2 linked regions of the Caenorhabditis elegans genome follow. Each later gene encodes a partner of the first gene's protein in a complex. Each region holds a gene or a part of one and is shown on either strand. Other genes may lie near its edges.

The links.
Region 2: rod-1 (region 1) and czw-1 share a complex: the UniProt entries of both Caenorhabditis elegans proteins name them as parts of the RZZ complex.

Annotation. Positions count from the first base shown.
Region 1 is NC_003282.8:7,476,711-7,484,486, reverse strand, and holds the start of rod-1 (Kinetochore-associated protein rod-1), read right to left. Parts: upstream 6,036-7,776; 5' UTR 6,035-6,035; coding exon 5,938-6,034; intron 5,883-5,937; coding exon 5,730-5,882; intron 5,683-5,729; coding exon 5,387-5,682; intron 5,330-5,386; coding exon 4,937-5,329; intron 4,894-4,936; coding exon 4,225-4,893; intron 4,174-4,224; coding exon 3,973-4,173; intron 3,925-3,972; coding exon 2,623-3,924; intron 2,576-2,622; coding exon 2,327-2,575; intron 2,283-2,326; coding exon 1,781-2,282; intron 1,738-1,780; coding exon 1,323-1,737; intron 1,278-1,322; coding exon 1,097-1,277; intron 1,049-1,096; coding exon 887-1,048; intron 841-886; coding exon 568-840; intron 516-567; coding exon 1-515. Other genes in the region: pycr-4 (Putative pyrroline-5-carboxylate reductase 4), read left to right, coding at 7,198-7,306, 7,365-7,618, 7,687-7,776. UniProt on the Caenorhabditis elegans protein: Essential component of the mitotic checkpoint, which prevents cells from prematurely exiting mitosis. Required for chromosome segregation, the assembly of the dynein-dynactin and mdf-1-mdf-2 complexes onto kinetochores and spindle pole separation.
Region 2 is NC_003282.8:7,943,051-7,948,115, reverse strand, and holds czw-1 (Centromere/kinetochore protein zw10 homolog), read left to right. Parts: upstream 1-1,523; 5' UTR 1,524-1,540; coding exon 1,541-1,834; intron 1,835-1,877; coding exon 1,878-2,434; intron 2,435-2,488; coding exon 2,489-3,031; intron 3,032-3,079; coding exon 3,080-3,890; intron 3,891-4,229; coding exon 4,230-4,361; 3' UTR 4,362-4,496; downstream 4,497-5,065. Other genes in the region: F20D12.12 (uncharacterized protein), read right to left, coding at 162-205, 612-645. UniProt on the Caenorhabditis elegans protein: Essential component of the mitotic checkpoint, which prevents cells from prematurely exiting mitosis. Required for the assembly of the dynein-dynactin and mdf-1-mdf-2 complexes onto kinetochores.

The sequences.
Region 1 (7,776 bases):
TCCGCAGTTTTTTCATTGTACAGTCCATTCTTTTTCAGTTCAAGTTCGGTAGAAAACTTTGCGATTCCGTCTTTCAATCGAGCACTTTGTTCTTCCATTTCCTGTTGTTCTTCACCAGTTAAATCAGAAGTCCATCTCTCCGAAATATTGACTCCCATTTGAAGAAGTTCAATTTTAACATCACTGAGAATGATTCTTTTGAATAGAAGAGCGATCGTCGAAACCACAACATGACGTTGAGACGCAGAATTAAGAAGTTCATAAATCACGTTTCGTTCTCCATCTGGTAGACTCTTTCCAAACTTTGCATATTTGTTGGCGTGAGCAAAAATTGCAGATGACAAAAGTTGCGAACGCGAAAACCGTGAGGATAGCCAAGAAACTTCACGGAGGAATGTTTGCCAGATTGGAACATTGAAGATCGATAATTCTGCTTTCACAATTCCCATCACAATTTCGTCAATTTCCTCTTTTTTGCGAAGAAGGAATGCATGGAATGGAAGATATTGCTCCGCCTAAAATTAAAGAATATTTTGATTTCAATTAAATGATTGCCAGTCGACATACAAGGCTTGGCAGATCACTGATAATCACACTGTTCCTCTCATAAACCATGGCATCACTTGAAAGTGCCAAATCCGAATTATACGAATCTGACATATTGCTTCCGTCATCTTCATAGACAACACGAAGTGAATGTCCAAATGGATCGAGCATTCTTCCAGTTTTCTCAAACTCTTTCTCATCTTTCATTAGAACACTCTCTCGCTTCGTAAACCAAATTGATTCCTCATTACTGATATGATTTGTACGTTGATAAGCCCATAAGAATGCCATTATCTGAATCATTGATGAATTGAATTTTATTTTTTAAATATTGGCTCACCGATTTCAAGTTTTTATTAAATTCAATCTCGACTGTTTCAGTGGCATACTTTCCATACGAAGTTACAATAAATTGGATGACTTCGTAGTTATATGGACACACAACGTAAAGCAAACAATGGAGATAATTACAAATGCAAGAAGCATCTTCTTCCTCGGCAATCTGAAAAGAAAACAGATTTTCAAAAGATTATCACTCAACAACTATTACTCTCAACGCGATTCTAGCTGCTTCGATGTACTTCTCTATTTCTTCTTTGCGAATTTCCCGATCAGTGTGTCGTCCAGCAACAGACGCTTTTCGAATGAGAAGAGTCGCATATCGAACCATGTATTCTCCAACTGAAATCTTCGAGTTCCGAATCAACTTTTCGACATACTTCTTGACATAACTGAAATATTCAAAATTATTTTTTCTATTATTTTATGAAACTCACTCATGAAGACGCAATGGAGAGAGTGGCTGTCGCAGATCTATCGCCTGTTGTAGAACTTTATCGACAAAGTCTTGAGTAATTGAGACACGAATGCCTTCTTCAGCAAGCTTCTTCACCAAATACTTTTGTTCATAAGCAGAAACGATTGTGGGAACTTTTTCCATATTTCTAGCCAACAAACTCATCACAAAAGCTAATTGAAGATACTGGATTGTCGCTTTCGTCGAACTTCTCACACCTTGTCGTTTCTGGAGATCGATTATAGCTCTGTCTAATCGTTCCAACGGGATTCCACCAAGAAGAGTAACTGCATGCCAGAAATCGAATTTTTTCTGTTGCAGCATTCTTTCGACGACTGACAGAATGGGTTGCTCCATTTCAACGATTCCTTGTAGATATTCACCAGCCCAACATTCTGAAATGAAAAATAAAAAATTGAAAATGGAAATAAATCTTACTGAGAGATCCGGCAAACACACGAGCTGAAATATCCAGAAGATCTTGTGAATGCATTGCAAGGAACATGTTTAGTTGCTCCCAACTTGATCTGAATTCATTCGCATCATCTGGTGAGATCTCAGAATCATATGGCCTGGCAACAGAAGGTGCAACCATCGCAAGAGCAAGAACTCCTTGAACTCCTTCAAATAAAGCTGGATCGTTGGAGAAATCAAATGTTCCCAGTGGGCGTTTGAACTCAAAAATGCGGAGAGATGACTGATTGGAAAATGGATTCGAAGAATCAGTTGGTAAGAATGTATCATCGTCTGATCTGAACATTTCTTGCTTTTCATTTTCATTCTCTTGGCCTCGTAGTGACTGCTTGATAATGTGCTCTCCCAAGTGATAAAATGCTTCCAATTGTAGAAGATAATCAAGATCGTCGCTAATAACATCAAAAGAGAAGCGTCTGAGTGTCTCCCGAACAACACGGCCGATACGTTTGACAACGAAAGCAATCTGAAAATCAATTATTTTTATAGTTTGCAGAAACCATCACTTACATAGTCAGCACGTGCCATCTCAGTCTCATTTGGTAGTAACTTCGGAAGTCTGAATGTAATCCAGCTCAGAATTTGCACGATAGGTTCAAGCATTTCCCGAGAAGAATCCGTCAATGAATTTATGAACTCGACATAATTCGTGATACTATCAACAATTGTGTCCATGTCGTTTTCTACCGTAGCTTTCGTTAAAATCATTTCAATGAGATGTTCCGGTGAAATTCCCATGTAGCTACATCTTCCAAGATTCTGAAATTAATAATAAAAATATTCCGTTCATATTAAATAAAAATTACCAAGCTCATCGACGAATTTGATTCGATCAATCTTTCCAAGAACCGTCGCTGCCAATCTTCATCTTTCAATTCAGACAAAAGAACTGCTTTAGTCTCAGTTTTCTGGACTTCGCGAAGAAGGACAAGCTCATCCTTTAAACGTCTTTCAGGATCATTGAAATTATTATCACGACATGTATAGTGAGACATCAGCTCTTCACCAACCCCGAGGATCTTTTCGCGTTCCAAGACGTTGTCTCCAGTTGCTGGTGCATTGGCAACGCATTCGATGAATGAAAATACAAGAGATATTGTCTTTACTCGTTCACGATCGCCAAGACTATCAATGTAATTGATAATTGAAATGGTTACATCTTGATGAGACATCATATGAATAATTGCAAATGATTGCACATATTCAATTCTCAATGTACGAGGTTGAGAGCTTCCTTGCATTGCTTTGAGCAAATCCACCAACTTGATCACATCCACAAATCGAGAAGCCTTTTCACGATGAGCAAGCATGCAGCGAATTGTCAAGATAATGTCCATATTTGAGTCAGGAGTAGTCAGCAGTTCGATGTCCTGTCGACTGAAGCCATACGACGATAACATCTTGTAGAGTTCGGTACGTTTACAAACCAAATGCATTTGTTCAATTTCTGATCTCAGGAGTGTACGACTTGCAAGGATCTTCTCCACAGCTTCATTCAGTTCAGCTGGCCATGGAATCTTAGCAGTTGAAGCGATCGAGATGATGGAGCAACAACGTCGAGTTTCATCCATGAGACTTGCACATAACTGCACACATTGTTTCTCCCATCCAAAAAGATTTGCATTTGTCACTGCAGCTCCTGACATCATCTGGATATAATTGACGATTGTTTGTTCCTGATCAAGATGACGTTCAGCCATGAACGGCTTCACGAATTTCTCAATTTTGGCATGTGTCATGTTTGGGTTGGCCAACGCATTTTGAAGAATCTTGTGGCAAATTTGTTCAGATGACATATTTTGGAATACTGAGAAACTGATTGAACACTCGTAAACATCTTTCAGGCGTTTCAATTCAATCAAATCATAGTATATCTTCTTGATCCGTGACATTGACGAAGGCTTGTTACCGGCAGAAGATCCCAACTTGCTTCCATACATTACCAGAATACATTGTGTAGCTGGAGTATTTCCATTGTTCGACAATATTTTGGTCATGGTATCGTAACTGCTTGCTGCTTTGATTGCATTCTCAGGCCAATTTGTAGAATCTCGATATTCAAGAAGTGAAATAAGAGAAGTGATGAGTGATTCGAGGCATGGAATTAGCTGAAAAAGAAAGATTTAAACATAGTTAAATTTTAATTTAAAAATCACCTCTTCTGTAATCATGACACATGCTGGTAAAATGTCTGTCGTTACGTGTTCGATCACATTGCTCCATTTGCTGATATCAGAAGAAATCGCATCGATGAACATTCGGAAAAGTGTTTCAAGACGAGAAATGGTGTTCTCCTCATCATCACACATATAATCAGTTATAGATTTCCCATGGCGACTGAAGATAACACGGGCTTGCTGAAAAATTGTATGATTGAGTACAAAAAACTTCATAAGATTGAAACTGACAGTGAACTGGGCGTCAGAAATGAATTCATTATAGATTTCGATCCACGGGTTCGCATCATGCAAAGCTTCGACGAACAAATCCCAAATCGTTTCATTAACTTGTGGACGACTTGGTTCGTTTTCTTCTGGACCAGCAATGATTCGATAAGTTCCCCACGTGTAGCAAAGTGCCTCAATCATTTTCAGAATATCCAGATCCGTTATTCTGCGCTTCTTTGCATGAGTCAAGTAGGTGCGGATACGATCACAGCGCCGACTCATTCCAACAAGAGTGAAGTATGTTTCAGCAACCATATTATGATCTTGAATTTGTCCCATCTTCGTCATCAGAGTCTCAAAAGATTCATCGCTTTCATCACAAGAGTCCATCAGATAATGTACGTGTCCTTTGTAAACCTTTTGTACATCCAGCATGAATGCCATGGCGAACTTCTCAGCTTCTTCAAATCTGTTATTCTTCAGAAGAGATTCGAAACGCATTTCAGGGCGAGACTGTGAGACTTGTCTGACAACAATTTGACTGCCGTCCTGTTCGTCTGCCAGAGAATTTTCCAATTCTTCAACGGCTATCAAGACACGATCACTTCCTCCATAAGCAAAAAGAGTTGTAGACGTGGATGAATCCAAAGCGAAACAATTGTCTTTATTCAATCGATCGTATATCATCATCTAAAAAGAAATTATTAAAATTTAACAAATACGATTCAAATACCTTTGTGCTATCTCCGTCACGTGGCAGAACCAAAATTGCGAACATCTTCGGAACTTCAACTTCATTCTTGTCAATGATCACAAAATCAAGAATTTTGTCGTCTGGAGACATCTTCATGTCAAATTCGTGGCAGAAGGATGATACCAATGAATCAAAGACATGAATCCATCCATCCGTGTCGAGGTGAAGAGAGAATCTACCTCCATCACGGACTTGCAAGAATTGTTTTTCCATGCCAATCACCTCAAACTCCGATTCGACGAGACCACACCAGTGAATCCCTCTTTGCTGATCAATTGAAGCGAACGTCTGAAGTGGCCCATTGGAGATCAGAGTAATGTCACCTGCGACCTTCGACATGTCAACAGACTTTGAAACCGTTTTTCCCATTGCCTGAAAAGAGAGTATTAAAATTAATTTGAAACTTTAAATGAATGTGATGAGCGTTACCTGGTGGAAAAATTCCTGAATCTGATCTCTGTGCCAATTTTCGAAACGGTTAGTCTCCTTAGATGCAGCCACGTCTCCTGGCAATGTGATAGTATGCCAATTATCAGATCGGCTCCCGAAAATCAATTGGCAAACACTGGAAGTAGTGTGACAGACAACGAAGTCAATTTCATGAGGAGCTGGCTCGTTCAAGTAAATTTCTTGTTTATCCAGCGAGAGAATTACAATACGACGATGTTCAATGACTCCAACAAAGAAGGAAGAACTTCCAAGGATTTCGAAATCAGTGATGGCTCCTGAAAATGTTGAGAAATCATTCCAGAGACTCTGAAATAGCTCATACCTCCAAGTCCGGTGTTGAACGAGTAGTCGCTTTTCTCGCCAAGACTGAAGACTGCCAGATCGGAGCACGACGCAAGAACAAGAAATCGCTCGTTACTTTTCGGTTTGAGCTTCCATGCCGGAGATTTCTTATCGATTGACATCTCATTTAACACTGAAACATACATTTAATTACATTAATCATAAAGATAATAGTTTTATTTTCTTACGGGGAAGGATTCGCCCAACGGTGCACACATCATAAAGGCCCACAGTCGACGTTTCCGCTTCCAAGTCCACAGCTTTTGCTTCGCCTAGGCGACCCATTCTGCAAATACGACATTATAATACACTGGTATCTCTAATTAAAAAATTTAACAGAAGAACGATTATAAAAATGAGTGAACAATTTCATTTCAAAAAATGTTTTTCGCCGCCGAAATAAGTGTCAGCAGGGCGCAATTTCCAAGTGTTAGAGTGAGAGAAACAAGACTTTTTTGAACCAAATAGTTGAATTTTGAAGCAAAAAACCAATAACTAAACACGAAAAGCGTTTCAAATCTCATACATTTCCTTACCTTTAACTGTGTTGAACAAAAATTAAATAATGAAAAACAATTAACACATTCAGTAAAAATTGATCGAAACGTGGAAATTACGTGTTCCTAACTATACAGCTTTTTTAAACGTAATTTTAGACCGGAAAACTTCTTTAAATTCAGAAATTTCACTATATTTATCAAAAATAAATAGTCTGAAACGATTTATTAGGATGAGGCGAGAAAATAACTGAAAATTAAAATGATATCCAAAAGAATTAAGATTCGTGTAAATATAGAGAAATTCGCGCCTAAAATTTGCGCGGGCAGGCGAAAAAAGACCGTAGTTTTTCGTCCCAAAACCCATCTCCAATATTCAGCATGCGCCTTTAATATGTCTACCGTATCTGCTCAGATGTTTCAAGTTTTTATCATAAATAAAATAATTTTACATTTTTTAAAGAAATTTTGAAGTGTTTATTTTCTGTGTTTCACCTGTTCCTACTGTTTTGTTCGTGGTTTGAACGTTTTGAATTATTTTCCAGAGCAGGATGACAAAACTGAACCGATGACAAATATATTTTATTATCTATACGGCCTCTGGAATGATGACAAAATAATCATCTAGGTGACTTTCTGTGCCTTTCACGGTTTTAAGATACAAATTTTTATAGAATACTAGTTTTTCATGTCAATTTCGGTACTAAAATGATCCCAGCATGTACCATAATATATCTTATTGTAACTTTTATATAAATGGAGACTTAGACGTCTAGACGTCTAACAAGAGACATAAAATAGAACCCAGTTATATGTTAAACGCACAGAGACGCAGTTGAGAAACAGAATCTCGTTAAGCGGGCAAACCTCTGCTCATGTCTTCTTCTTTTTTTTTTAATATGTTGCTTTTTGTTGTGTCAAAAACAATTATTATTGATTTCAGTCAAAACCATGACTATCGATACTGAATTGACAAACGGGTCCTCAGAGTCTGTGCCATTCGTGTTCATCGGAGGTGGAAATATGGCCGCTGCAATTATAAAAGGATGCCAGAATAAAGGTGAGTTAAAAAATTGTTCTCCTCGTTGATTTGAATTAAATTGTTTTCTAATTTTTAGGCTTTACACCGAAAAGCAATATTGTAATTGGCGTTCAAACGGAAAAATCGGCTGAGAAATGGAGGCAACTAGGATATAAAAACGTTTTCACAAACACACTGGAAATGCTGGAAAGATATTCGACGGCAATCTATGTGATTTGTGTGAAACCTCAAGTTTTCGAAGAAGTTGTGTCAAGCTGGCCTGTAAACTCAAGACCAGAATTTATTATTTCTGTAATGGCTGGAGTTCCATTAAAAGTTCTCAACGCGAAGGTGATTACTATAAGCAGTTATAAAATAATTTTAGAAATCATAATTTGCTGTACATAACATTTTTCCAGTTGCCATTCGTTTCGGGAAACACTACCATTGTTCGTTTGATGCCAAATGTAGCAAGTTCTATTGGAGCCGGCGCCTCGACGATGTGCTAT
Region 2 (5,065 bases), 470 kb from region 1:
AGCCGAAGGAAATTGTTCAATGAAATTATTGTACAAATTGGTTTGCAAGCTATTCATTGAACATTAAGAGCGATATTTTATTGATCATGATAATTATTTACAGATAAGGATAATATTACATTTAATGAATTACATAATTTCAACAAAAAAACAATAATTTGTCATGAAAACGGAAGAATTTGGAGGATGAGCAGCTCGGGCGGATCTGAAAAATTTAAATTAGAACTTTCATAATGACATCGCTGATATATAAATGAAAAAAGATTTTATCTGGTCTATTATCAGATTCGCTTAGTTTTTAGAGGCTTTTGGCTTAAATGAATGCAATTACAAAATTCTACACAATTCAATTGAGAAGTCTACGGTTTGGAGTCTTAACGTTCACAGAGACGTACAATCGAAAAGAACTGATCGCCCGCCACTATACAGAAATTCCGACTTCAAAAGAGCAGTGACAGCAAATTATAGCTGTTTCAACGATTTCAATGCCTCTATAAGTCCATATATGTTCGATCCGAAGATATTTCATTAATTTTTTGTTAAACTATTTCAATTTTTGTTCTTAAATCAATTTTTTCCTACTTTCTACAATTTGAGAATATAATACTCACGTGGGTGGCCTGGAGAAGCACATCCCTGTTTCATCCGTGCAATTTCCCTCGATTCGACGAAGTCTAGAAATTAAAAAAATTGATAAAATATGAGAGGGAAAGAGATTAACAAAAGGAATACACGAATTAAGGAGGGCGAATTAACAAGTCACGGTTGAAAAATACTTTTTTTTGCGAAAATGGCTGAAAAAAACGAAGAAAAACAATTCAAATTGAACTTTTTAGAGTCGAAATTGATTTTTCTCCCCCAAAAAACAATGAAGAAAATCATCATTCAAAACCGTGCGGAGGTTGCAGAAATGGGCGTATTGTAAGGCACGGTTCTGTGGGCGTGGCCAATCCCCCGAGTTGGGAATCCCCCCAGTTGGACATCCCCCGAGTTCTTCGGGTCTCAGTTTTGTTCAGTCTCTCGTTGTCTGCATGTCCGAAGTACGCAAACACGGATGTACACCGTACATTGGCGCCAATAATCATAATTATGCGCGCGTGGAACGAAGTTTGATTTCGATTTCAAATCATTTTACAAACTTTTGTTTTTATCGTTCAAAGGATTTTAAAATCGATTTTCAACGCGTTGCAACGTAATAATTATACGTAATAAGATCTTATTCTTCATAGAAACGTTATTGTTTTTATTCACGCGGCGCTCTTTTTTCAAAAAGTAAGCAATCACGAATGCTGAATTCTCAATTAAACATTTTTTAAATTGACTCTTTCCCCAGTCACTTGCCTGCAACTCATCTCCCGTTATTAATTTTCATCTCTGTGAACGCGTGAGTAACATTTTTCTGCTAAAGTGAGCGCACCGGTGTCTCGTTGTCGTTTTTATGTTTTCTATTTGCGGGAAATTTAAATGCTCTTGTCTTCATGTATTTGTTAGTTAATAATTCCGTAGAACATTTTCTTTTTCAGGCTGTGAAACTTAAAAAATGGCGTCATCCGAGGGATCCTATAGAGATCTTGAGAAAAAACTGAAAAATGGACTTACTTCAATCTCGCAGGACATTGTGGACAAGTATGGAAACCTGAAAGTGTCACTCAATGTTAACGCGACAGCCAAGCTTATTTTCGACCGACTTGAGAACCTCGAGGATATAGCTGAAATGTCTACTCGAAATCTGTCTAACTTAATTGATCAGACAGCAAAGGACAGCCCCGAAATGCTCGCAGAGATTAAATCCCAAGCTCAAAGCTGCGAAAATCTGGTGGAATTCCTGCAATCGGTAATGGTTCGAAAATAAGCATATAAAACAATTGAGTTTTCAGATGAAAAATGTCGAAGAACAATTGATAATTATGCGGAGTAAAACAACGAATCGTGTAGAATGGGGAACTGCTATTCTTGCTTGTAAAGATTTTCTCAATGACACAAACATGCTGCTTGAAGGAATTGGACGAGACGGTTTCGACATGAGTGTTCCATTGAAGCATTTTGCCGCAGAATATTCGGTTTTAAGCTACAATTGTCGTTACCAATTGTCCGCTGACTACGAAAGAGCAATGAATGTTCCAAAACTGTCAAAACAGAAATGTGGAGATCGTACAAATGTTTCTTTCTCAGTATTCAATGTTGGAAGCGTGGAAGATCAGAAAATGCTGAACGAAACTCTAAGTGCTATGAATATGATTGGACAATTACCAGAACGACTGGACGCTTGGAAAATCGTTATCTTGAACGTGTTCTGTGAAGCGATTGTTGCTAGCCGCGATGGTGTTGACGTATATATTGTGGATAATCCAACACCTGATCAGACAAGATTCTTGATAAACCAAAAACCACGTGGCAAGAAGGACAAGACTATTGATGTCGCAAAAGTTCTCGAGTGAGCGAAAACCACTTTAAAATTCTGAAATTTAATTAAATATGGTTGTTTCAGGTCAATGGAAGTGTTTTTTACGAAGTTGCACTCCGTTCTTCATTCTCACGAACTGCTGGACGCGACTGGAAAGACTTTCACGTCGATGATCGGAAGCGTTATTGAGGAACAACTGATAACTATGATACTGAAAGATGTAATTGCGATTGCAGCACCCGTCACTGAAACTGCTGACGAAGATCAGGAGATGTTCATTAATTTGTTGCAAATTGGAGAGGTCTTTGTCGAAAGAATGAAGGAGCTCGGATTCTTTTCTCAGAAAGCAAAGTTGCTGTTCACTCTTGACACGGACACAATTTTTGTGACTCGTCGTTGCTTTGCGATCGTTTCAAAAGCGAATAAATTGATAAATGAAACGTATGACAAACTGGTTACAGTTGGAGTTGATGATTCAGCCATCAAGGATATTGATTTGCTTGCAAAGGCTCATACACATGCCGAACATTTTGCTAAAGAATATGGAAAAGATCTTGGACGTCTTTGGAGCCATAATGAAGATTCGCAGTTTCCATCATTCTTCGCTTTCCAGAAATGTACAGTCAGGTAATTTTTTAAAGTGTTTATTATTTTTTTCTAAAAAATAATTTTCAGTGAATCAACTATCAACTTTGTCAATCTTCTCCGTGATAACGTGAAGGCTGCGTTTGCCTGTGAAGATGAAGGTGCTCGTGCGAAACTCGCTCTTACCGCCGAGAATATTGTTCGTCTCTACGTGATTCTCACACCAAGGAAGCATGCTGAGTTGTTCAGTTCGATCCCGAACATGGCTGCCATTTTTTACAACAACTGTCATTATATATCACACTGCATTATGACGATGTCGTTTGAGGCTAGTGGTGACAATCAGAAGACGTTATTGGAACCATTGCTCCTTGATTCTGTTATCAGATTGCGTACTGTTGCCGCTGATTGCATGGAAAAGACACTGACAAGATGCCGTCGCGAAATGACTGCTTATTTGGAGGATCATAGCATCTTTGAACACTTGCCTGCAAGTTATAAGACTACAAAGAATACATTTGCTGCTGCTGAAGAGATGTCCGAGTCGGCTGATATTCTTGTTCCGAGAGAAGAGCCAAAAATTATCAAATGTCTTGCCGCCTGCCTTCTTCATATTCGCCTTATTGCAAAAAATCTTCGTGAACCTTTGACTGAGGTGGTATACTGTAAGGTGATTGGATCACTCGTCTCGTTCCTGTTGGATTCTCTTGTGCGCCACGTTGTCACCACTTCCGATTTCCGCGAAAATGATGCTAACGTGATGGCTGACGTTTTCAAAAGACTTTTGGAAGTTGTTGCCAATATTGTCGCCTATAAGGAGCAGACAAAAGTGACCGATTTCTGTGCTCGAGAGTATTTCCGTCTTAATGAAATTGTGTTCGTTCTTGGAAACAGAATGCAGGTTGGTTTTTTTTCAAATATCGTGTAAAGTATTGTTTTGATGAAAGTGAAGTTTTGACCATGGAACTTTAGAGAAACTTTTTTAAAATAAAAAAGTTCTTCTAAAACAAGTGAAATTGCGAATATTTAAAGCAATTTATTTTCAAAAATTGGATTTTTTCAAATATTGGAAAAAGGAAAATATTAAAAGTTACCCTTTTTGAAATAGTGAAAAATCAAAAAAACACCCTTGTTTCGGACGTCGACTTTTGATGTTTTGATTTAACATAAATATGAAATTTACATGTGTTTTGTTCCGAAAGTCTAGAAATTATAAATAATTTTTATGCTAATTTTTCAGGATATCGAGCATCGATGGTTCAACGCTAAGGGTCCAATGGCAGAACATTTGAGCCGATCCGAAGTTGTTGGACTGATTAAAGCATTATTCGCCGACTCGCAACATCGTTCTGATCTTATCGCTCGTTTATAATGTGTATTAAACTAATTCATATTCTCTTCCACGCCAATACATTATTCATTTTTAATTTTTAACTGGCGTTGTGTTTCACTGTTTTACCGGTTTCCAGTATGTTTCCCCCAATGTTTTCTGAATAAAGTTAAACATCGGTGACGGTTTCCGATCAGTTCGCACTCGACACAATAGCCTTGGAATGTTGCCAACTTTTTTCAAATGCATTCCGTTGGCGCCCTCTGGAGAGTGCAGACAACAAGACGCCACTTTGAAAGGTCGGGGGCGCCCACCAGAAGGCGTATGTCATATGATGGTGGCACAGATGAAGGCGAAAGTCGAGCTTCATCACATTGAACCAGTTGTGACTTTTAATCCCGTCCGCAAGGGCCGCCCGTTTCCTTTCCCGGGCGGGCGACAATACGTTCTACTCTACTTATTTGTTTATTCTATTCTATTTCTCTCTGCAGCTTCTGCATTTATCCACCACATCGCAACAGCTTTCCTTTTTTCCGTTTTCTTCATATTCCTGAAGAAAATGAAAAGTGGTAATAAACAATTCGCGTTTTTTGAAGTGCCATGATTACTGTAGTCTTTTATATGTTTGGCTTTTGGTGGATATTAACTTACTCATTTTTTAAATGAAATTTGATACATCGCTTGATTCCTAGGTGATATTTCGAATCTTATTTCATTGGTTTTATTTGAAAATATAAATTCCTGTC